Linked DNA regions of Oreochromis niloticus. The main gene of each other region encodes a partner of the protein of the gene in region 2 in a complex. Links are inferred from orthologs where the notes say so. Each region holds a gene or a part of one and is shown on either strand. Other genes may lie near its edges. The genes, in order: ccnt1 and sart3.

Region 1 (12,995 bases), on a different chromosome or scaffold from region 2:
AAGCCATTTTTATGGCTCACAAAAAAAAATAAAAAAGGAAAAAATAAAATAAAGTAAAAAATATATCGAAAAGATGGCTTTGGAGACATGCACTCTAACTAGGCTGTACAGTCTTAAAGAAATGACCATCTGTTCCAAAAGAACAGAGGTTTAACCCTACAAAAAGGTAGAAAAAGGGGACCTTTTTTCTTTTTTAAAATCATTTGATCAATAAATAACACCCTATAAAAACATTATAAAAAGAATCATTTAGAAGACCAACCAGGTATGTCATGGAAATTTTTCCAAACACATTGACATCCTCTAATTCCCGTCTTCTTGTCACATATCATTTGAATTTTTCAAAAAGAAAAAACAAAACACTATCTACACTTTCCCATAATTCTTTTTGTCTCACATTTTGCAAGTCCCATTATTGCCCCACGAGTACGCCATAAAATCCTTTGTTACCCCCAGTACATTTCTCTGCTGTCACACTGAAGACTATAAAATGTTGGGTGGCTGGAAAATATCATACAACACTTTATGTAACAAGATGATCAAGATGTCAAGTAAAATGTACATAATGTGGTTTCCTGATTAGAAACTTATTTGGGCAAAGGCGGCAGTGGGGGAGGCGGCTCCGTGGGCAGGGGAGGGGGCCTAGGGTTGTTTCCTCTGGAGCTGCTCGAGTACCGATAATCACCATACTGAGATCTGTAGTCAAACATAGACTGCTGGGACGGCTGCACACCCTGTGCACTCAGCAGTGAGTTTAGCATCTCAAAAGTGTCCTGGTACTCGTTGGACTGGGCTCCGCCAGCTGCACTGTGACCATTAGTGTCAGTTTTGTCGCTTTTGGAATGCGAATAGCTTCCTTGGTGGTGGGGGAGGCCCAGAGATGGAAGAATGTCAGAACCATGCCCCAAAATTTGTCCGGAGGAGGAAGACAGGGGAGGTAACTGGTAGGGATTCCTAGACTTGCTCACTTTGGAGGGTGGGTGAGATCCCGCTGAAGGATCCTGGGAGTGTGTCCTCTTGCGTGAGGCAGATGAGGATGAGGACGAGGATGAGGAGCTTGTTCTAGAGGAGTCACTTGGTACTTTTTTGCTGCTTCCCAGCGTGCCGCTGGAACTTGATGAATGTTTGTGTGAAGAAGAAAGTGAGGCACTACTGGAAGAGGAATGGTGGTGGTGAGAGTGATGATAATGGTGGTGGTGGTTAGAACGCTCCCTGTGCTTGTCCCTGCTTTTGCCATCCTCTCCTGAAGTCCCCCTCTGCTTGTCAGGCACTCGGATTTTGACTTTGATGTCTGGATCCTGGCCTCGACCACTGCTGCTATGTCCACTGCTTCCTCCTGATCCTCCAGCAACTGGGAAGCGCATTTTTAGAGAATCATGCCTCTCCTTCTCCAAGGGGATTTTAAGAATAATGGGTGATGGGTTGGACATGTCAGAGGAAGCGCTGGGTGGATGATGGTGATGCTGCTGCTTCTCCTTCCTCTGTTGCTGGCCAATGAGGGCCTGAGCTGCATTGGCATAATCTCTCTTTACGCTGGCCTCCATGTTCTCCAACTTTCTCTTTTGGGCAGCCAGGACGTCAGCATTCTTGGCACGGTACTCACTCAGCGACACCTTAGCTGGGGCGTGGACCTCATGGTTAGGCTGCTGCTGTGGTTGCTGTGACTGCTGCTCAGATCCACCTTGACCTTTTCCACTCCAAGTCTGAGCACTGCCAGAAGCATTCGTGTCCTTGTCGCCCACTGATGAGGAAGAGGAGGCAGAAGGTGGAGCAGAGAGGCTCATCAGGCCTGCCACAGTACTCTCTGATGAAGCCATGGAAATCATGCTGATCATGGTGTCCCTCTGGTCACCCTCCTCCTGGACTTTTGGCTTGGCTTTTGGTGTCTGTCCGCCAGCCTGGAAGAAGAAAAAAGTCAGTCAATGTCCACATTGAATCGGGAATTTTTAATAACAAAAAGGAGCAGGTAAATTTGTGTTGTACCTTCCAGTTGCGAATTCGCTTCAGTCGGCTGGGTGTTTTCTCCAGGATTTGCAGGAACTCGTGTGTAAGTTCTGGAAGTGGGGGAAAAAAAAAAAAAGTCAAATCAGCCCTTTAATTATCTAAACATTTTTTTCTTAAAGAGCATTTATTGCACATACCGTCCAGCAGCTCAAGGGTAACTGTAGGGTCGACATACTCCCACCAGTGTTTGCCATCTGTAGACACGGGGATCTCCCAGTTGGACCATTTGCAGGCAAGGTGGATGCACACACAGGCTACAACAGGTGGACTATACTGCAGGCAGAACGTTGTCAAGTGCAGGCTATATGGCATGATACGTCCAAGAAAAAAAGCAAACAGGGAAAGAGAAAACAGAAAATCAGTGTGTTGAGCTTTAACAAACCACACACAAACTTTGGTGAAAACCTAGCATTCACATAAGAAAGACTAAACCCTGTGTGTGTGTGTGTGTGCGTGTGTGTGTGTGCGTGTGTGTGCGCGTGCGTGTGTAAGAGAGACAGAGAGAGAGAACTATGGGTGAACTCTGAGCATACCTGTTGGTGGCCATAAAGTATGATGTTTGGGCCAAATCCTTGCTTGCTGGAACAACAGCAGAACAAAGAGAGAAAAAATTTATAGACACAGCAAAAACCTGAAGATAAAATTGAGCAAAACCAAAAAAATGATGCTCACCCCTGACAAGCTGAGTGCATTTGACAACATGTGTATGAGGATGATCGATGGTGATTTCAAAAGCTGTAATAGAAAGAGAAGAAAATGTAGGTAGACATTAATAAAAGAAATGCAAAATCAATTTATACTTATAATCCATATGGAATACAAATCCACTTCCCACTGGCAAAGATAACATTAACAAAGGCGCTGAAAACCAGAAAATTAGCATCGTGTTAAAAATCAAGTGGTGGGGAGTCAGAGTTGAGTGGAGTGTCACTTTTCATGGGAAAACATCCTGGACAACATGAAAATGTCAACACCTGAATATGAAAAAAAAAATTAATGGCATGTAAGAAGGGGAAAAAAGTTGTTTTGAGGCTCCCTTTTAAATGTCTTAAAAATACACAGGTGAAAAAGGTAAAATGTCAAAAGTTAGGGCTGACAAAAATGAAAAGGCTGAAACAGGAAATGTAAAAGTGGGTGCTTCGGTTGTGAAGCATAAATATCACTTCCAGTGCTGCTTACTGCAAACTGTGAATTGAAGTAAAACATGTTAACTATTCTTGTTCTCTGGGGGGGGAATTCAAGGGACCCAGTTCTTCCTTCCAAACTTACCCAAGGTCTGGAGAATTATGCTCTCAAGAATGACCAGGTCTTGGGCTTGTTGCAGGTAGGCCTGAGGTTGAGAGGACAGGCACGTTACTCACTGGGAGGCCGCCAATTGTTGAAAAACAAGAGCAACTGTACACGTTATGTGGCCGAGAATTTCTGATCATTTGTCTGAAAGGCTTTCTGGCATACATGTTTGTTGAAGAAGCCTCAGATATAAGTGATGAAAAGTGAAAGCTACATAGCAAGTACAGATGCTCGAGTTTTACAACTGCTAGACATCACATTGCCTGCATGACTGAAAACCTACACAGGCTAAGGTGTATTTTGCCTTTTACTCTCTCAACCCATGTAATCAAGCAGCCTTAACAGCTCAGAACAAATACGTGACAGAGTAAATGTTCTCAGATTACATGCAAGAAGATTGCCATTTGCCTTATTGTAAGAATTTTTTTTCTGCTTCAAAAAACTCCCTCGGACAATTGCAGTACAATACTTACATCACTGCGAACATCAGGTGAAGGCTCCTGAGGATTGAGGCAGGCATGGGCCACCTTGATGACATGCTCCAGCTTTCGAGGCTGCTCCTCTACCTTTGCTGCCAGGAACAGAGCAGCGGGTGCGATGACCTGGAAAGGGGCAGTGGAGATTTAAAAAGTTGATTCACATTAAGTACAATCATTTCCATGATTCAAGCAAGAAAAGCATTACTTACATTTCTGTGAAATCTAGTGAAGGACTGGATCATGTAGAAGCGATGCATGTACACAATGGCTGTATTAATTGTAAGTTGAGAGCTGATACATGGCAGTTAAGGAAAAAAGGTAAACAGTGGGAGCAAATTACATAACATCTGTAATGACTGCATACTTTGAAAATGGGCTGGAAACGTCGGTATACGTGTGAAATAAAATAATTATAAAATAGTTATAAGGATAACTATAGGTTTAATATTGCTAATTAGGTATAAAATATAATGTAGGTAAGCCTGTTATCGTATCAGCCACAGAATAACAAAGTTAAACAACACTTTAGCCACAGGCTAGCTGGGATAAGACTCTTGATAACACACAAAGCGATGTTTTCTAAAACTAACACATCTAAAACACTTTTTCTGAAACATCCTACATTACTGTATTTCTAAAGGTGTCCCACTGTCCTTCTAATTTGCGTTTATTCGTTGATATTTACCAGTGGTGAAGCTAACGCTTAACATGCTAACGTCCTGGAGGCCGCCGACTACACAGGCCTCTGCGGCCCAAGGGTTAGCCCACTACGCCGCTATCGTGTAACGCTTGTAAGCTCACGTACACCTCGTAAAACCAAATTCCACAGCGTTAAACAGACGTGGAAGACAAAAACAAACGTGAAACCGTCGAACAAAAGACAACAACAACCTAACAAACACCAGCCACACTCCTTCTCCTAGCCGGCTCGGGAGAGAAGCTAAAGTTAGAGAGCTAACAAGAGCTCACGACAAAAGGATACACATTGAGCCGCTGTCCCATGTCCTGGAGCAGGTTCGCCGCCTGTTGTCTGTACGAGAGCTCCTTGTCGGGATCAAGTCCAGCTCGCCGAGATGGGCTGTTGTCGATCTGCTGCCGGGTGAAGTACCATTTGTTGTTACTGCTTGCGGGGAGAGAGCGAAACGAAGCCGCCATCACTGAGAAGGACGAGAGTTTAAAATTTCTGCGCGTCACAGGAACACACGTCACGCCGGGCGGCGACGTCAGCGCGCCTCCAGCGACGGTCCAGCAGAGGTCTCCAAAGCGCAGAGGGGTCTCAAAACTTAACTTAAAGTACTTAAAGTCTCATACAATAACGATCTCTCCTGTTATAACACTGTAATAGCCAAAAGCGAAACCTCCGGTAAGCTAGCTACAGCCTCTGTGCTCCATACACCGCACAGCCCCAGAGGTGAATCTCCTTGTCCTGCATCAGTATACGCCCACTTTTCTTCCTAGGGTACTGACTATAAGTGCTCATACCTTTACTCATGGTGCTACCTTACCACAAGCCCCTTCCCAAACCCCGCCCCCTAGCTGTAAACTTCAAGTAGGATTCGGAATGGAATCTAATAACAATGCTATTACTTAAAAAAAAAAAAAAAACTATTGCGAAACACAGTCTAAATCAAAATTTTAAAAGTGCTGCATTAATAAACTTGCTATTATCATTGATTTCACAAAACCAGTGCATTAGGCACCTAGGCCCGCCCCCATGGGTGAGAAGTTTAAGCCCACCATCTGGCACATAAGAGGAGAAGACAAGTTGCAACAAATAGCTGAAGTAGGAAGTCGAATATTAAAGTTCTCAGTAAGAATCTTCAACTGAAACTTTAAAGTCAGAGATCCCCCACCAGCCCCATCCTACCAGTCCAAGACTGGCAGTGTACATAAAGAGTAGTAAAACTGTAAAACCTTTAATCTGTACAGTACAGCATTGACTAGGCTCTATCCTTCAGTGTGTTGCAACTATATTATCTATGCCTTGCTAAGCAGTAAAAGAAATCAGGTTTATCCTTGGTTTTCAGACTTTAATAAAAAGTAAAATGCCCAACTCTGGAGTGACGTTACTCCCAGTTTTGACCTTTGACTTCCAAGCCATATGGGACACAGCAAGTCATTTACTGCTTTTGAACTTGCTTAACAAACAAGACCAGTGCATTGGTAGGCTTGATGTCTTGATGCATGGTTGGTCATCCAAGCATGCATCAAGGTAATGCCAAAAAGTTGATTCTGAAAATAAATCCTGACGAACAGAATGAACTTACTAGGATTTCCCTACCTGCATAATTGAGCATGCACTAAGACATTTTAACTCACACTGGCAAGGACTCCCACTCAAATTGGTCCCCAAGTTTTGAAACATCTGTCCTGACCAGAGTGTACTATACTGGCAAAGTTCTCTGTTATCAAACTTATAATTGTAATTGAACTCAAATCTACAGACACGCTATCCCAGTTTCTCCTGGAAGACTCCACACAGCACATCATTTCACCCCAGTACAGGAGAATTTTAAGGCCAATACTGCAGGACATGTGGCGACAAAATCCTTAAGGCCCAGTCAAGCAGGCCTGGAGAATAATAAAACACCCTCTGCCAATTACCAGTTGTTAGGGATGAATGTGTATTCCCCAGCACGTACTATTGAATTTTAGTTGGAGGCCACAAGGAGGGGAGTGCATCGGGGGGTGTCATCAACCAGTCTCCAGGCTTGTGTGTCTGGCTTTTGAAAACATGCTAACGCTGGGCAATAAATGGTGGCCAGTTATATGATTAGCCACGGTCACTTAGAGAGCTACATTCCCTTCCATTTTCCCTCATATGCCTCTTTGGTCAGCCTCTAATATCACAGTCTTAGTCTATCTGTCCATAACCAAATAGTGCTATGTTGGAAAGGTCTATGCTAACACTAACCTCGTCCCGACAGCCATGCTGTCCCAGATTTTTTTTCTGGGATTTTCCCTTCAGCACTAAAGATTTCTGCAGTACAAAAATCCGTGTACATGAGATGATGCTGTAGGAGGAATAACAATCTAGTTAATCACCTGACTTGATTAACACTTGACATGATCAAGGCAAATGATCAAAGAGGTTAATCATCTTCCTTGATTAATATGATTATCTACCCTAATGGATGATGAGTGAAACTTCTCCTGAATAGGTGCTCAAAAGCTAAACAATACCATATCAGTCCTCCTCAATTTAATCAGTTTGCACAACAAAGCAATGATCGTAATGTTTCAGGAACTGGGTAACCCCTTCTCAGATGAGAGCACCAGTCATGTTCAGCATGACACAAGGGACGTCGTGGGTGAAAGTCTCAAGATTGTTAAAGTATCAGGGTAGTCACGATACTCAGTATTAGTTGGCTTGAAAAACAGACTAGTTTTCAAAAAATTGAACATAATAATAAATAAGTTTTTACAAAAAGTCACCCACAAGACAGTCAAGTCTTTTCAAGCGAACTCTGAGTTATTTATTAGAATATGCATTTTTGTTTTATCTAGAAATTAAGATATGGATGCATTAGTAACCTTAAGGCATGAAATGATGCCTCACTTGATCTCTGTTAAATGATTGCCTCTTTAGCCCATCAAACCCCTACAGTTATGTAAAGAATCAACATGAGATATGAGGCTTCTTAGCCAGATGCCCTTCAGTGTGGAGGAGTAGCAGCTCTACTTTTCATCTTATCTCTATGAATCCAGACACTTTATAGGGAAGCTCATTTCTGCCACTTGTATCACTAATCTTTCAGTCACTAACCAACCACAAGTGTTTTAGACATTGCAGCCAATTTACAGAAAAGGAAGGCTGTTGTTGTATCTGACACTACCTTATGATTTGAAGGCAGCGGTAAACACACAGCATGGGGAACTTGGAAAGCCTTCCTCAAGGTTATATAAACATTCCTGTCTTTTTCAGAACTGGTGGTATCACAGCCGACACCATTCACCAAATCAAAAGATTTTTGGTACTTCTTTCTGAGAGGAAAAGGAAAAGGACAGCACACGTGTTAACTAGGCTATAAAGTTTGGTTTGTCGTACACTAACACTGTTGTAAGAGCTGCTAATTGAACATTTGCAGTCACTAAATTGTAGCTAAACAGAACAATATGAGTAGTGATAGATCCATTCTGGACAACACTTAAAGAAGCATCCAAACTATACAAGGAACTGCTCAAATGCACCTTCCTGTCATGTCTGACAAATTTACAAATTAAAACACTCATAAATATTGTGTTTTACATCTGATTGCCTCAAGGCCTTATGACATCCTCCACACTACGCACTTGAACATATAAAAGTGATGAGCACCTCTTTCATTGAATTTTGAGTGTTTTAATCAACCTTGTTACATCTGTGGTGTTCCCAGTCAAAAGTGACTGCCATAGGAAATGAATGGGAATCCACCCCCCTTTGGCCTCTGACCCCCTGAACGACCCACTGAACTGAATTTGGTGGTGAAAAATGTTTCTTATGTTAATTTTAAGAGCTGTTAAAACTGATTGGTCAATTCTGACTGGGAACACTAAAAAGCATAAATACTTGCAAATATTTTCCCTCCAGTATTGAAATTCACAATAATACATAAGTGGGCCATTGCAGTGATTTTCTATGACGACATATGTTGAGGTTGCATCGTTTTCTTTTGTTTACAAATCTGTAATGTGTTACTTGCTGCATTTAGCCTTATAACATTTACTGGTATTCATTAGATATTTAAACCATATAAACAAACACCACTGTAGAAACTACAGGATTTTACCTTAAAAAATACTCTCAAACAAGCACTTTCTGGCCTTGCAGAGGATCTGACTCTAACCTGTTGGATGTACCGAATAAGTCAAAATCCATTAACATGCATGTTAACCCAACCCTACCTGGGTTAGGTTAACAAGACCCGGTGGACTCTTATAAGATTATCATTAGTATCCATAATTACAGGGTTATTGCAATAACCTTGTAGTGCCATAGTAATGTTGAAATATTGTAAATGTGTGTTTTTTTAATGACAAACAAGCCATCTTGTTAGATGGCTACTGGAGTTTTGGTTAGAGCATGTGTATTATATTTAACTGAAAGAATGATAAAAATCTAATAAGCAAGATTTCACAGTTTTTGACACGTCTATTAAGATACAGTTTATGTGTTTACCTTAGCACATCTGCATCTGGAACAAGTCACAAGCAGCACTTCACCTGGAAATGAGTGCCATAAATCAAGCAGCCTACTCCCCATCATACACTGAGGAGACTGCATGCTCGCTGAGTATACATTTGACAAATAGCCATATTCTGTATAACCCTCCTTTCGGACTCTTAGAAGGATCATAATTTACATTTGATTGTGATTGTTCCTGCTGTAAGTGTGTCTTTCTTCTTCTTCAGTCATCTGAGATCAGATTAGTTATTAAAGTCTCTCAGTTTATGTATTTCACTTGCATTTATTACCCATCACTATAACAGTGATATAAAGGTTAGACCAGCAATAGAGAAAAAGTGACAATTTATACTAGTAGTTATTTATATTCTACTTATATTTATACTATATAGCCTCTGATGGCTGATTATTGATCACAGGTGTCAAAGTAAATTATTAGGAATTTCAATAAAACAATAAAACAACTAACTGCAGTTGATGTTTCTTAAATCATTGCAAACAGACAAATTTCTCAAAAAAATATCAGAGAAGTGTCCAATAAACTGTGGGAGTCACTATGGAAGACCATTTAAAAGTGGGACTGCCTTTTCTAACACAAAAATTAGAAATCATTTTTGAAATTACATTAACTGTTAAAAAAAATATATATATGTGCGTGCATGCGTACATATGTTTTAAGGGGTCACATAACAATTTTATCGCACACCAATATTTTGGAGCACGTGGATACAAAAAGAAAAAGGTTTTATAAAAAGATCGCAAATTGAACCATTAAGTCATGTTGATCAGGTTCCATTACAGTGTGTTCAGTCAGTGGTGAAACATATAATTCCTCCGTTTTTTTATTGAAAATTAAATCTGGTAATTTGGCCAATATTCTCAAGGATTTCACCTTAATATAAAAGTTGAAAAGGTCAATTTTAACATGTCAAAAACAAACCCCATATTTCCTGTTGAGAGGTCATCTGCAGCCTACCACTTTATTTTCTTTCTTTTTTCTTTTTTGTACCCACTTCTCTGCTAATATCCAGGCAGGGAATGCTGAGACCTCTTAATCCTTTTCATTTTTCTTTCATTTAGCTAGCAGGAGCTTTCACAGTGAAACAGATGTGCTTGGTGACAGACTGAAAAGCCATGCAGGTGTCAAATAATTGACGAGTACTAATGGTGAAAGCCGACTTCTGATTGTATTGTATTTGGGTGGTCGAGGCTGTCTCTGTCCCGCAGCAGTTTTTGCTGCATATCAATACAGAGTTGTTCAGACTGATCGCCCTCATTGTGTCATGAAACTTCAAGCGGGAGCGGCCTCTTTCTGTAGGTGTGAGGGGGGGTTTCAGTTTGTTAGGGCACATTAGCAGGAGTGATGAGGTGATCATCAGGAAGTTTAAAATACAGATAACTCTGAGTGGACATGATTTTTAACAGTGAGCACTCATTTACACAACAAAACTTATCACTGAACTGCAGGTATTAGACTGTTATTTAAATGTACTCACTGTGAAAATGCTGATTTTGTTAATGTTAACGTTGGTCTTGTTCGCTTTTTCTTCTCCTTTCAGTTTCTCGTCTGCAAACAGTTAGAAATGCAGCAGCAAAGCTTCTTGCTGGTTTTAGGGGTGAATCATTCCAATCACAGTTCTCTGTAGTGGCTTCCTGTATGTTTTATAATTGATTTTAGGATTTTTCCGACCACTTTTAAAACTTTTCTTGATTTGATTGCAACATACACAGCAGAAATGTTGCCCAAATGAGCCTTCAAGTTGTTAAAAAGTGTTGATTTTCTTCAAATCTTCTTTATCGCGGCTTATTGGTTTTCACTCATCTGGATTTTTGGTCATTCCTGTTACAACCGCTTTACTGCTTTTGTTTTTCAGACAGTGTTTGTGTTGTTATTTGAGATTTTACAGTGCAGCTAAAAACTCTAGAATGTGTTAATGCAGCAACATTTTATCAAAATGGGACAGAAATATTATTTCTTCATCCTCCATCAGTTGTAAGCGAGATGTTTTAAACTGTTATCCCTATCACAACATTGTTTGATATTATGGAAAGAAAGAAAATAGGAAGGATCAAAGTGACCCAAACTTCACTGAAACCAAACTTTTAATGAGTAAAGAATTGATCCTTTGATAATTAAACCTCTCTGGAGCTGTTTTACATTAAAACCAGCTCAGAATGACTGTTTCATTTGAAAGATATCTACATAGTCTATTTTTAGACTGTAATATGACTAATAACTTAATGTTAGGTGAAAAAAATATTCCCTGTAAAGCACCAGCAGAATGTGCTTGATATAGGAAAGCAAAAATGTTAAAACAGGAAAAACTCAGAGACAAACTCAAATTGCTCTTGTAATTCTTACTTTAAAGGTTATGGTAAATTATTATTACTTGCATTTTATAGTGACCCAAAAACTCATTTTACTTTAGCAAAATTGAAATTAAATACTTTATATCGCCCGTGCGTTTAGCACTCAGACAAGGACTGTCGGCTGCATCCTATGACGTGTGTCAGGCGCCCCCTTTGGTGAAGCTATCTGACTCCAATCCCTGTGCTTCATCAGTGCTCACCAGGGGGTAATTACACTCTCAAAGCTCTTTGTCATGTGAATCAATACTCCAGATACAGATTTGCCTTGTTCTGTTATCTCTGTGAAATATGTAGATAAACCTTACAATCATACAACTTCTAACTGGGGTCTCTAACTGGCCTGACTCTGGGTCAAAAATAACATTTCTTAATGTTCACACACTTGGAGAGAAATATGAACACACAACTCCAGCCATATTTAAAGATAATAAACAACTGAGCAAAATACAAACTACAATTCGACAGAATTTGTTCTTTAGTACTAAAATGGTCCACACTGATGATCAAACTCCAGTCACAACAGTGATGAGACGAGGACGCAGGTATCAAAAAATTGAAAACAATTTATTTTAAATCACAAAATGTTATAAAATGGACAGATAACTGAAGCAGTGTATCAGTGATGCCCCCACCACCCTCCAAAAAAAACAATCAGACTATCTGATCAATCAAAAGTACAGTTAAACACACAGTTAGAACAAATTACAGTCAGTAATCCTCCTTTTCCTACTTCTACTGTAAACTACTAGATGTTTTAATCGGTTATCACTTCCATAACAGGTTTCCTCATAACTGGAACAGTCAACAAAAACATGTTTATATAAAAAGCATCTTTTTTTTCTTTCACTCATGGAAAACTTTACGCAACAGCTTCAGAACAAAACATACCAACCCCGTCGATGGTTTCATTTGTAAAATGATTTTATAGATTTCACTGAGCAGTTTATCTTGAGATTATATGACGAGTAATCAACCAACTTTTACTGTAAAGTAGCTGCTTGTTGCTGTATTTGCTTGATATACATTAGAAGAATGGGCTGTAAAGCAGTTGAAACGATGAGCAAAAATCTTAAAACTCAGAAACTTCTGCGTTGTTTACAAGCTCCTGTTTGCGCCCCTTCAATTTTGTCATTACAAAAAAAATCCAAAAATGTGCTTTTCAACTACTTTAAATGATACAGCTGCCCCATTTATAATTCTTATTTGCATTTAATTGTACTTTTGATTTTTTAACAAAGCCTATTCCGGTTCTCATCCTCAGGAATCTCTGATGTACAGTCACAAAAACCCCTTTAAAAAAACAACAACAAAAAAACCCTACTTCAAACTTTATTTACACTTTTCCAAATCTTTCCGCACGTTTCATCTTCTTTGCCTGCAGAGACAAAAAGAAAGAAAACATTAATCGGCCTCTTTATTTCATTCACTGTGGTTAAATTACGTGGCATTGTGATGAAATATGAATCGCACAAAACTAAAATCGTACCTCGATGTCGTCTGCACCAACTGAGCCCGCGCTTGTTGGGACTCCAAACCGCTCCTTCCTCTTCTTAAGCTTCTCATCCTCCTCAATCTGAAAAAGTCAGTATAATATTAATGCTTTAGCTATACATTACTTTGTAATATATAGTATTATTTAATATTAGCACAGATTCTCAAGGAAAAGTAAACTAAAACTAAATAAAAGG
Region 2 (12,396 bases):
TTAACTCGCCACAATTCAACAACACTACTACACACTGCATGCTCCTGAAAACGGTTGTCATAGTAACACCGCTTACCTCTATCCGTGCCCAGATCTGCATGATGATACAAGAAGGATCACCACTTTCACCAAACCCTACAGTGACAAAGGAAGGTGAATAATGTGAAAACTAAACCAGGACAAGAAGACAGCAAAAAAACAGATGTCAGTGCCGTCTGCTTACGCTCTTCGACATCGTGTTTCATGTAGTCCAGAGATCGAGAGAAGGCTGCTCGTAATTCCTCTAACTCTTTGCTTGACTCTGCAAAAAAACCCACAAGGTAACACATCATCAAATACATTATTTGAGTTGTGTTTTGTTTTTTTCCTGACGTACAAAATGTTCATGACACAAAAACGCTCTCACCTTTACTGAAATCCACGCGTCTCCTCAAGTAGTCGAGGTACGCCTGCCAAATTTCCACGTAATCAGTAGCCTGAATGAAGCCTGCATTTAGTGCCTTCTCAAAGACATCTGCGTGGAAGACAAAAGAGAAAAATACACATCAGACGACAACATTTCTCTAGAAGGTTGTTAGTATTTTCAATAAATTCAAGGTAGTTTTAAAATGAATGAAAGACAAGCACACGTCTTTCATTATCCTTTATAATGCTAATGATTTAATAAGGTACAATTCGGGTTGTGTTTAGTTTCATCTATTGCCTGTTTTATGACTCTTTATGGGCTACAGTGGTAGACATAAACCATAAAAGCCATAATAAATCAGATTTGGATAGTCAGGTTTTTTTCAGAAAACAAAGAAATAACTATACTGTAAGTTAAAAAAAAATATTTATCCGTCTCACATGTATTTTTCAGGGAGCAGGACATATTATGGAGTGGACTAATTTTGCCTTTTTGTCATCACATTTAATATAAATGTGATAAGGACCGGTCTTCCTTAGAAAAAATAAACACAAAAATGTGCAGGCCTAGGTGATCTTATAATGATGGAGCCAAGTCCATCGAATCATTTTTTTAAACTCTTACATACTTGGAAGTCAGGCAAGGTTAAGAAAGGTTACATTTTTCCACATTTCATCAGTCATACAGCTCAATCTTTTTAAACTCAAACATAGTAATAATGAAACCACAAAACAGAATAAACAAACTAAGTTAATATTCATCCTGTGTTAGTAATTGCTTCCACAAATACTTGTAAATTCTTTTTATAATAAATGAAATAAACAAAATAATCACTTATAACGAGAACAATTATCAGTTTGTCTCTAAAACCAATGCACATCCATTCAGAATGAATGCAAATTAAATTCCACTGAAAAATCCTATCAATCTGTTTCAGTCCTATTTGTTATGAAGAAAAAAAGGAGTTCAAATAGTTTCAATATTGAAGGCAGCGGGGGGTTCTTGTGTGAACAGCTTCGAGCTGCGCTCGTGTTCTTACCGGACACGGTCTGATGGTCGGCTCCGTGCCTCTCCAGAGCGAGCAGGTAGCTCTTCCACAGTCCCATGGTCCAGGGGCAGTTCCTGACTGCACGTTCATGAGTGGAGAGAACCAAGTCTTTGAACTTCAGCTGACGATCCTGCCGATCACAGAGAAAGAAAAATAGTTAAAAATGGTTAAAACAGTCTGAAAAACGAACGAGATGAACAGCAAGGTTTTATACATTAGACGGGGGGGGGGATAAAGACGGCATCACATCAAACAGTGACCAACAACTCACGAGGTATATGGTGTATTTGGCCCACATGTCTGGCACCAGGCAGTTCTCTGACAGAGCGCGCTCAAAGGTTATCTGGATCCGTGCTGGGTCGCCCTCCTTTAGTTCAAAGTCGATGTAGGCCTGATATTCTGCTAACTTTGGAGTTTCTGCTACCATCTGCAGCAAAACAACAGCAGTGTTCACAAAAACGATCAACATCATTTAAAAACATTACACAGAACGAATGGACATCATATTTAGCAAAGTGCATTACCAGAGCCTCCTCAAACGGTTTGCACTTCTCCATCTGCTGCAAAGCTTTCTTGTACTGATGCATAACCGTCTCAGGGACGCCATGTTCGGACCACTCCTCATATTCTGCGTAGGTGCCTTCCATGTCTACAAAGCAGCAGAGCACAATTATCACAGATTTTGCAGGAAATTTACTCTTTCAAGATTGGATATAAAAATACAAACACCGCAAATAATTACACAGTCAATAGTCATTTTTCAGTTTTGCAAAATGTTCTACTTTATCTGTTGCTTTACTTAAATTTAGAGATTCAAATGTTTCAGAAACGGCACGGCTCTCCACTCAGAGAAAAACAACACGATACCAAACCATCCGGTTACCTCTCTAGTAAACTAATGAGGAGTGCACTCGTCACCCTGACATGTTAATTTTATCCTAAAAGCCAGCGTCATAACTTTCTTTAAACCGGGTAATTTCTGACATATGGCTCTCGCAACAGGAATCTGTCTCATTTTACAGCAACCAGTCTGGCCAGAAGACACGTCATGCTTACCCATTAAAGGGATGGCCAACTGTCGGCGAAACAGTGTATGGATTCGCTCAAGCTGGGTCTTCAGCATCTCCTGTTCCTCATGGCTGGGAATCCTGCCAGGGGGAGGCTGAGAGGAAAGCCAGCAGAGAACATGGTGTTAAAGCACAAGCCATTCAGTCAAACATGGAAAGAATTCAAGTCAGCAATCTGAACTGAAGAAGTGTTATATTTGACAGCAATAACATGGAAATAAAATTATTTACACTAGCTTTTAATTTCTAAGACAATATGGCATATGTACACAATCAATACAAAAACACAAACATAGCTTATGTGTGAATGGTGAACTCTGTCCTAGTGACGGGAACACAAACCTGCACTGTGGACAGGATGGCGTTCTCAAACTCTCTGTACGCCTCCCACACCATCTGTCCCTTGGTCATGTGAAGCCCCACTGCTGTCACCGCCCTCTCAAAGATGGATCTCACCCTGTCGATTCCGCCCGGTGAGCCCATACCGCCGATCGAGTACTGCGCGTACTCAAGCCAGATATCGGGACCTGTGTGTGTAAAGTTAAATGTTAGGATTGTGTAATTACTAATCATCAGGCCGGAAGGTGGTGGCGATGGTGTTGCGCACTCACAGATATAGTCTTTAACAGCTCTCTCAAACAGCTCATATACTTTCTCTCGGTTTGGCTCCTCCTCAGTCAGACGGATTTCATCCTTGAGCCAATCCAGCCAGATCTCTGGGGGATTAAACAAAACAAGGTTTCAGTTGTAAATAATGCAGAGCCGCTTATTCCTCCAACCCCAGAAGCATGTCAGGCGTGCACCAACCTTCAGTGAGAGGGAAAAGCTCACTCATCTTCTGCCTCGCCTTTCGCAGGCGGAAAAGTTCCCCCTCTTGCTTGAGCAGCTTGATAAGATCCACATGGCAGTTGTAGTCGAAAGCGTTGATGGACAGCTGAGGAGTTACACAAAGATGAAGAAGGAATGAGATATGTGACAATGCACTTCAGGGGTTTTGTAGGCACAAAATCACAATCGGTTGGCATGTAAAAGCTACTTTAAGCTGTTCTCGCATTCACAAGAGGTCGCCACAGCAGATAGCTCCGCATATTTGATTCGGCCGAATTTTTACCGTTCATGACGCAACCTCTCCCAGGATCCCACCAGGGATCTTTTGTTTCTTAGGTGAACACATCAACTGCCACAATTGGTTTGCATGTAGGAAAAGTGTGTTACCTTATTTAATATATCTCTATGAATTTAAAAATATTTTTCATGAAGCTTGTTGGCAGGCCAAGATCTCTTTGGTGAAAATACAAATCTGTTATATGCAGAAAAATCCCTGCACTTAAACAAAGTGTATCCTAAACAATCCATGCTTTATTTTATGTGTTTACCTCCAATTTATTACCACCACAAAAGAAAATAAAGTTCACTTATAATTCATGTAATGAACTATGAGAGTTCTCTTTTAAAGTGTAATAACATTGTTGTTGTTCTTCTTTATTATTAACAGCTGCAAGACTACAAACTATAAAACTCAACCCACTCCTTCATGAGAGCATATGTTCATATTTTGTTGAGCTGTTGACTGAAAATTCAGGTAGTTTCGTGGGTTGCAGTTTGATCTGTTGGACTTTTGTGCTACATCAGTGAGACTGAATATTTAAAACATATCTCTGTATATAGCACAGTACAGTCAGCAGTACCACACACTGATGCTCGCAGAGGGACTCGTGTACAGTCATGCAGTTGGATCTATATTTGAGTGTATTTGTAGGTTGCTACACCTACTACACAGTCACCAGCGAAGCTGCAGCAGCACTCTCCGTACTTAAGACTACAGCAGATTCAATGTTATGTGAAGGGGTCAAACCCACTGATCACGTGACGCTCATTAAAGTTAGCACAGCGTGTACTGTTTTTGTTTGTACTGTACTTTGTTTCTAACCCACACTAAACGCTGGGATCCCACCGTGGACCGAGACTGCAAGAAAAAAGGCGCGTGTGAATACGAGGCACGCGAACTACTAGCATCGCACATTAGCAGGGCAGCTAATCACGACAGCTATGTAAATGACGTGGTTGTATATTTAGATGTTTTTGGTTAACGAGAGCTACCAACGCCACGTATATTTTCTGCCTTTACTCGACCATGTCATGACGGAGGAGTTCGCCGCTTTGACGCTGCCTACCCGATTGTGGCTGGCCGTGTTTACCACCCATTCATTCTCATTAGCCCCTCGGCTAACGCTGGCTAATCACCTGCTCCTCAAGTCGCTGGATCTCGGCTTCATTTTCTTTCTCGTCCTCTGACGAATCGTCCTCCTCGTCTTCGTCTGAATTTTCCACTCCCATGCCTTCCTCCTCGTCTTCGTCCGATTCCATCTCCCTCTCCTCCATCCCTGCATCTTCCTCCTCCATATCTTGCAACTGCGTTTGCTCTGCGTTGCTTGACGCTGCCATGTTGGAAAGGCTATCTGCCTGGTAACAGCCTGCTAGCAGCCAGCGGGACGATGAGAGGCGGAGCCCGTCAACACGGGTCACCGTCTAACCTCGCCCGTGGCCGCTAGTGGGCGCTCCCTAGTTGTGTAAAACCTTCTTCTCTTATTTGTTTGTCAACAAAAGCCGTTCGTGCTTCCTCGTGCTCACTCGTTGATTTCCGTTCGCAGTTGGTGCTGGAAACATGGCGAACGTCTGCCTACGAAGCTCCTCGTCCTTGCTGCTGTTTTTCAGCAGGAGGATTTTCAAACCGGAGCTGAGCGCTGTCTGCTTGTACCACAAAAAGGTAACCGAGTGAAAATGCGTCCAAACCCGCTGACGTCACCTTACTTAGAAAGAGTTAGCTGACATTTATCGTGTTGTTGTCAACTGGTAACAGTGCCCTGTCTGTCAGCTGCTACACCAAGAGAACAGAGATATATATTTTTTCTGATAAGTGTGGCCTCTCCCTAAGGTTGTGGACCACTATGAAAACCCGAGAAACGTGGGCTCCCTGGACAAAAACTCCAAGAATGTGGGGACTGGATTGGTGGGTGCACCGGCATGCGGTGATGTTATGAAACTTCAGGTAAACTGGAAGTCAGTAACAGAAACCAATCCATTATCATGTATTTGAAATTCCCATGTTTGACTCTGTTCTCTTTGCAGATCCAAGTGGATGAAAATGGAAAGATCATCGATGCAAAGTTCAAAACATTTGGCTGCGGATCGGCCATTGCTTCCAGTTCTCTAGCAACAGAGTGGGTGAAGGGGAAGTCGGTATGTTAAAGTACCAAACAAAGTACAGGCAACCAAAAAATGGACCCTAAAAGTGCTGTTTTCTCCACTCTATTGTAAAGGGTCTCATGAATCTGCTTTTGCCCTACAGGTTGACGATGCTCTGAAGATCAAGAACACAGACATTGCCAAAGAACTCTGCCTTCCTCCAGTCAAGCTTCACTGCTCAAGTAAGTTCACAGTCGTTATTAACATCTCTTAAGACAGGGGTGTCATAATATATATCATATATCAAATCTAAGGCCCGGGGGGCAGAATCGGGCCAGCAAAAACTTCAGTCCGGCTCACACTGGAAAATGTGAATTGTATTTTCATTTCAAGTTTTGTAGCTTTTCCTAATAAAAGGATCTCCACTGTGGCCATTCATACTACACCAAAATATTTTAGGTCAGTTAACAAAAAAGACAACAATTTCTTACCACTTAAGCACAAAGTGTCATGCTGGCCGATTTCTTAAATTCAATATATCAGCATTTCCTAATTGTGTAGAAAACCTGAGAAATATGATTTAAATTGCACTTTTCTTCTTACATTAAGCTATCTCAGGGATTAAATATGTAGTTGAACAGCTTTACAACAAAAAGATCCCTGGTCCAACCTACTTAAGATCAAAATGTGCTGTTAAGTGTCCAAAATAGCTTCAGGGCCATGCACACCATTCTTTTTTTTTTCCCAAGACAAATTCTTTCTCTTGCTCTGTTTGAAAGCACCTACATTTATGCTTTCAGATCAGGTGTTTCCTGTAATAAATCATATAATTTCAGCCATGGGGATGATAAAATCCTGTACGTTCTAGTGATACTGGATTTTATGAAAATTGTAGCTGTACCTCTAGGTATTGTTTTTGTGATATTTAACAGTGTTATGAGATTACACGTACAATAAATATATCTCTAAACAGTGTTGGCTCTCTCTGGGTACTCTGGTTTCCTTCCACAGTCCAAACACACGTTACATCCACTCATCATTGGCATGAATCTCATGGTAATTTGGGGCTTTTAATGATTTCTTTGAACTGTTGTTTTTCCGGGGTGGAAAATCTTTAATGACTTGATGAGTTCTTAGCAGGCTTGAGCCTCAGTGGTCCCTGAGTTGTTTCTGAACATCTTAACCAATTTCCTCTCATCTGAGGGTGACAGTTTGGGTTTTCTTCCAGACTATGACAAAGTCACAGTTACCAGATCCCGTTTGTGTCCTTTTAACCCTGTGTGTGAATCAGAGAAAGTCCAAAATAAATTCAAAAGAACAGTTCAAAGAAATCTTTAAAAGTCCCATATTACCATGACATTCCTCCCCACGACAAGTGTAAACTTCTGACCACATCTATAGGTTAACTGATGATGGTGTGAATAGCTCTGTTTCTGTGTCTTAGCCATGCAACAGATTGGTGACCTCTTCATGGTGTACCCCATCTTGCACTCTATGGAAGATTGGATGGATGAATGAATGAATGAGTGACTGTATTAATCACCCCTACATAATGTTTATATGAAATGAAATCAAATCGCCCAGTTATCATGAACTGAATGCTTTTTGTTTTCCATATTATGCTCATAGTGTCTCTAAAATCTTCTTTTTTTTTCAGTGCTTGCAGAAGATGCCATAAAAGCAGCACTGTCAGACTACCGGCTAAAGCAACAGGACAAGAAGGAGGAACGTGTTAAAGCCAGCAATTAATGCTTTTATTCACTGTCTATAATAATAGATTTATCCTATTGTTGGATCATGCCTCTCCTAGTGCCAGAGCAGTGCAGACGGGTCGCTGTAATCACATCACATTGGATCTTGCATCCGTTGGGGAATTCTCCACAGGTGTGGGATCAGTCTCTTGAGTTTAAGCCAAGGGTCCCATATTGTTCAAGTGCCAGATGTTAATAGCGTTTATGGATTCTTTTGCTTTTATCACACAATTAGAATTGTTTAATTAACAATGACTTCATGGTGAAGCTTAACACTTTAATACACACAGCATTAAAGACATCTTTAATGAAGCAGGGGTGTGGGTTTGTATATTTTGGCTATGAGGCTCTATCTGGCTCACTTGTGAGACAATTTAGGTCCCAGATGAAAGACTTGGTATGAGAATGTCAACAGTTAAAGTTTACATACAAAAAAAAGTTCAGAAAATTTGTATGAGGTGCTTTGCTTACTGTGAATAAACAGATTAAAAGACTTTTCAGTGTGTGTGTGTAAATGTCATCCTGCTGATCCTGAATCAGCAGGAGCTACCCTCTGCTGACGCACGAGCACCTTTTTCAGCACGAGCAGCACTGCCAGCATTACGAGAGCCACTAACACACACAGCACAACCAGCAGAGAGATGATCGCTGCAGTGGCCTGCTGAGTGAACGGCTGTGGGACGAGAGTGGGCACGAGTGCATCTCTGTGTGTGGAAAGCAAGAACTGTGTCCCCTCAGCAGGGGTTACATTACTCTGAGGGTATCGAGCTGTGATGTTGTCTCTGCACCTCTGTTCCTCCTCAGGGAGAGAAGTAGTAGTCTTTAAATGGAAGGGGCTGACTGACTGACTGTTATTTAGGGATAAACACTCCTCATAGGTAAGAGTCTCTAAAGAGTAGTGCAAGACACGTGTCTTGGGAGAGTCTTGATTACTGTTTAGAGCTTCGGAAAGCAGTCCATTAGTGGTTAGTTTTGATATTTTCTCTGCTGGCTGCGCTGTTAGCGTCCTCTCCTGTGCAGAGCTGAGGTCACGTTCATGTGTCCTGTCATTTGGCTTCAGGACACGAGGACAAATGGCCACGACAGAGAGATTCAGAAGCAGACGGTGGGCAAGATGATCAGGCTCTGTGCACACAATGTCTGTGGCCATCTTAAGCCTACCGCTCAGCAGCCAGCGGTACAGATATAGAATGTCACACTCGCACACCCACAGGTTGTTGGTGAGGTCCACAGATCTGAGACGTGGCAGGCTGTCGAAGGCGCTCTCTGGGACTGACCGCAGGCAGTTGCTGTTGATCTTCAGGACCTGCAGGTTGACCAGAGCAGACAGTGAGGGCAGGTCCAAGGCAGAGATGCAGTTTTCTGAGAGGTCTAAATGGGTCAGTGATGGTGGAAGATTCAGGGGGAGACTTGTAAGCCTGTTCCCCTTCAGTGTCAGGACCTGCAGCTTGTGGAGACCCTGAAGTGCCCCGGGCTGGATGGCACGAATACGGTTGTCCTCTAAGTCCAGGCGAGTGAGGTTTCCCAGCTGCCTCAGGACACCTGAGGTGATGTAAGTAATGCGGTTTTCTTGCAGCTGCAGGGACTCCAGGCTGGGAGGCAGGCCACGAGGGAAGCGGGCTAGCAGATTGTGACTGAGGCTAAGCTCCTGGAGGCCGGAGAAGGGCCAGAGCTGGTGGTCCACATTACAGAGCTGGTTTCTGGCCACAGATAGAGCTGAGGTACTGAGAGGAACCGAGCGAGGGAGTGATCTCAGGCCTAGTGACTCACACAGAACCAGAAATCCTGGGCGAGGGCAGCAGCACCCAGTAGGACAGGGAGACACTGCAAGGCAGGCTAGAGGACAGATGCAGAGAGCCAGCAGGACACCACATCTGCACCAAAGCATGACTCACTGCAAGAATAATGCAGGACAGAAGAGCAGTTAGATGCATTTAGAGGATATGGTTCCTCTAAAAGTTCTATAAAGGAAGGGGTATAATGTTATAATATGGCTTTATTAAAGGTTAATAAGCAGCTGAAAGATCCCTGGTTTGATCCAGGAAGGACAGCCAAATCCCACTGGGGTTGCATCAGGAAGTGCATCTGATATAGAAACTCTGCCAAAACAAACACGTGGAGCCATCTGCTGTGGTAATCCCTTGTGAATAAGGAAACAGCCAAAAGCAGCTTTATTATAGGTTAATGAACCATTTATTAACACCAGTACTCCACCAGCACACTCTGGTACATGTAATGACCTTATGGAAAAGAGCTGCAGAGTGTAAAAACCATTCATGGAATTGCCAAAACTATTTATAAAGCCACTTCTTACGTCTTAAAAGCCCATGATAAGGTGTCACTTGTTAGAAAGTGATGCCAAAGAGTGAAAACTGCCTCACTTACCATTCTTCTTTCTGTGTATTATCTGCTCCTCCAAAGAGACAGGCAGGAGTGCTTTCCCATGCTCCCTAAGTGATCGACCGTCCCTCTAAAGATAACCGACGTTGCTGATAATTCCAGGCAGATGCTCATCAAAGTTTAATGACAGCCTTAAGGAGCTCTGTTACCTGTTCTTGATCATCTTCTCCATCCAAACTGACCGAGAAGTCCTTTTATTCGTCAGCTGTTTTATTATGAACAAGCTGAAAATACAAAAGACATTCAGAAAAAAAATGGTATGAAAAAAAGGATGTCCTAAATATTCTCCTGTTGGAGCCCAGCTAAGGTGGAGGTTATTGAACTTAGTGACTTTAGTGAAGATGTGCTACAAGAGAGCGGCGCTGGGTGGTCCCGTGGTTTGCATCTTTCTGGAAGGAAGAGTGAAAGTAAGGGGGTAGCATTTTCTCGAATTATTTAGCACCTCATTGATAAAAGAGCAGGGAATCTGAGCCCGGTGTAAGGCTCTGTCTGGGCTCACGTTTCAGCCACCACATGGTTACACTTGCTTTTCAGCTGGTGTGCTATCATGTCCTGTTTGATCTTTGGCAGTTTGACCTACTTAAGACCTGAAAGGAGTTTTATGTTTAAGGATTAAAAAAAAAAAACATTCTTATGAATTTTCTACATTTTTTTTAAACAGATTTCAGATGGCATCATGATTTATCCATGTCACACTGGAAATAAGATATATTAAAATACATAACTGAAAGAGTTCCACTCTTCATACAGCATCAATATTTCATTACTTGCTCAAAATATGGAACAAAAGGGATTCGACTTCTTATCATGATTCTGATGGGAACAAATCAGGGTCCCCAAGATTTGTATAAACAATACATGAGCTCTTGTTTTGTGCCAAAGGGTCCGTATGTATCTGGATTACTGCTATTGAAATATTAAACAATTCTGTACATTTGCCAGCAAAGGACAAAAGGGGCTCTCGTCATCTCCAGGCTCGAGTACCTTCGTCTGCAGTCCTGCAAGGTGATGGTGCCAGCGGCTTCATCCTGGCCAATCAGAAAGCTCTGGCAGTGGGTTTTGGGGTTTTTTTTTTCTTTTGCAGATCAGGGGTTTGAAATGTGAAAAGAGAAGACAGCTTATATCATCACAGAGCAGATATCACAGATCTGGCATTTCGGTAATTACCTTAAAATAGTTACCAGTGATTTCTGTGTGGACACAGGTCAAAATTACAGATTTCCAAGTGGAACATAATGTGCACGTTGAGATTGTCCTCTTTTTTTCCGGGACCTTCCTCGCCTTTTCTAATTGTAGGTTTCCACAGGGTTGTATCTGTGCTTCATTTGGCGTAGCTTCAGCCATTTACGCTGCTTCATTTACAGCACTTAGAGACATCTTTTTCGATAGCTTTATTAAATATATGCAAAACAAAACGGTCTTTTTGTAAACAATTCAAGTGTCAAAAAGAAAGCAACTGTGGTTGAGGTTAGGCGGAAAACAGTATGTCAGCATGACAAAAGCATTGGCACATAATTCAGGCTTAGATTAGAGACTCAAGGTCATTAACTTAACAACAGGACAGAGTAATTTAATCAAATAAAATCAGATAAGAGAGACAAATATGCATCTGTCAAGCCTATACACGTAAGCTAAACACGCCAACTGTCTATCCTTCTACTCACATTTCAAACTTTTACACTTAAAATAAAAAAAGCATAATTTATCGTATACATAAATGTACTAATTATTTAAAAGAAAAACTTAAACATTTGTTTTCTACTCCCTACTTTTTTTTTAAATACATTTGCCCATTGAGAGCAGGTCAAAGGTGTAAGCCAAATAAATATGTACAGTCATTGTACAAAGAAAGCGCACCCTCTTTCAGTTCAAGCCAGTTCAGAACAGCATCTTGTGACATATTACAACATGTCATTGATTTAACAAAGACTAAGCCAAAATGCAGAAGCAGTGTGTGAAAACTAAGTCCACCCTTCCATTATGAAGTAAGTGGGTAACTAACAGCCAGGTACTGCTGATCAAATGCATTTGATTAACTAATCATTGGCACGTTCATAAAATCAGAGGTTTGTAGGTCTGTGGTATTCAGGTGTGTTAACACAATGCTGAGGATGAAATACATCAGCAACAGTCATCAGTGTGGGAAAGGTCATGAGGTCACTTCCATCAAAGTGAACTCCATCACTCTACAGTGAGAAATATAATTCACAAGTGGAAAATGTCCCAGCAAATTCACCACAAGGTCCCCGGCCACCAAGATCTACACCTCAGAGTGTGCAGGCCTCAGTTAGCATGTTAAATGTTAAAGTTCATGACAAAACAATTATCAAAAAAAGACTTAACAAATGTGGCTTATTTGGAAGGGTTGCCAGTAGAGATGCTTAGGTTTGAGTTACATCTGATTAAACCACAAGACCAAAGCAGACATGTGTGGTCACTGTGCACAGCACCATGTTTGGGGAAAACCGAACACAGCATATCAGCACAAACACTTCATAACAACTGTCAAGCACGGTGGTTGCAGCCACTGTGTTCACC

What was found.
Region 1: sart3 (region 2) and ccnt1 share a complex: the UniProt entries of both Homo sapiens proteins name them as parts of the 7SK snRNP complex. The link is inferred for Oreochromis niloticus from reciprocal best matches to the Homo sapiens genes SART3 and CCNT1.

The regions. Positions count from the first base shown.
Region 1 is NC_031984.2:6,829,730-6,842,724, forward strand, and holds the start of ccnt1 (cyclin-T1), read right to left. Parts: upstream 5,208-12,995; 5' UTR 4,929-5,207; coding exon 4,756-4,928; intron 4,065-4,755; coding exon 3,983-4,064; intron 3,897-3,982; coding exon 3,768-3,896; intron 3,335-3,767; coding exon 3,274-3,334; intron 2,740-3,273; coding exon 2,677-2,739; intron 2,593-2,676; coding exon 2,538-2,592; intron 2,306-2,537; coding exon 2,142-2,305; intron 2,055-2,141; coding exon 1,984-2,054; intron 1,899-1,983; coding exon 588-1,898; 3' UTR 1-587. Other genes in the region: sarnp (SAP domain-containing ribonucleoprotein), read right to left, coding at 12,641-12,682, 12,794-12,880. UniProt on the Homo sapiens protein: Regulatory subunit of the cyclin-dependent kinase pair (CDK9/cyclin-T1) complex, also called positive transcription elongation factor B (P-TEFb), which facilitates the transition from abortive to productive elongation by phosphorylating the CTD (C-terminal domain) of the large subunit of RNA polymerase II (RNA Pol II).
Region 2 is NC_031977.2:18,322,775-18,335,170, reverse strand, and holds the start of sart3 (squamous cell carcinoma antigen recognized by T-cells 3), read right to left. Parts: upstream 4,993-12,396; 5' UTR 4,967-4,992; coding exon 4,766-4,966; intron 3,456-4,765; coding exon 3,329-3,455; intron 3,238-3,328; coding exon 3,133-3,237; intron 3,049-3,132; coding exon 2,864-3,048; intron 2,617-2,863; coding exon 2,511-2,616; intron 2,104-2,510; coding exon 1,979-2,103; intron 1,882-1,978; coding exon 1,726-1,881; intron 1,585-1,725; coding exon 1,446-1,584; intron 515-1,445; coding exon 407-514; intron 302-406; coding exon 224-301; intron 136-223; coding exon 77-135; intron 1-76. Other genes in the region: iscua (iron-sulfur cluster assembly enzyme ISCU), read left to right, coding at 5,187-5,288, 5,457-5,570, 5,651-5,761, 5,871-5,949, 7,365-7,456; tmem119a (leucine-rich repeat transmembrane protein FLRT3), read right to left, coding at 7,976-9,346. UniProt on the Homo sapiens protein: U6 snRNP-binding protein that functions as a recycling factor of the splicing machinery. Promotes the initial reassembly of U4 and U6 snRNPs following their ejection from the spliceosome during its maturation.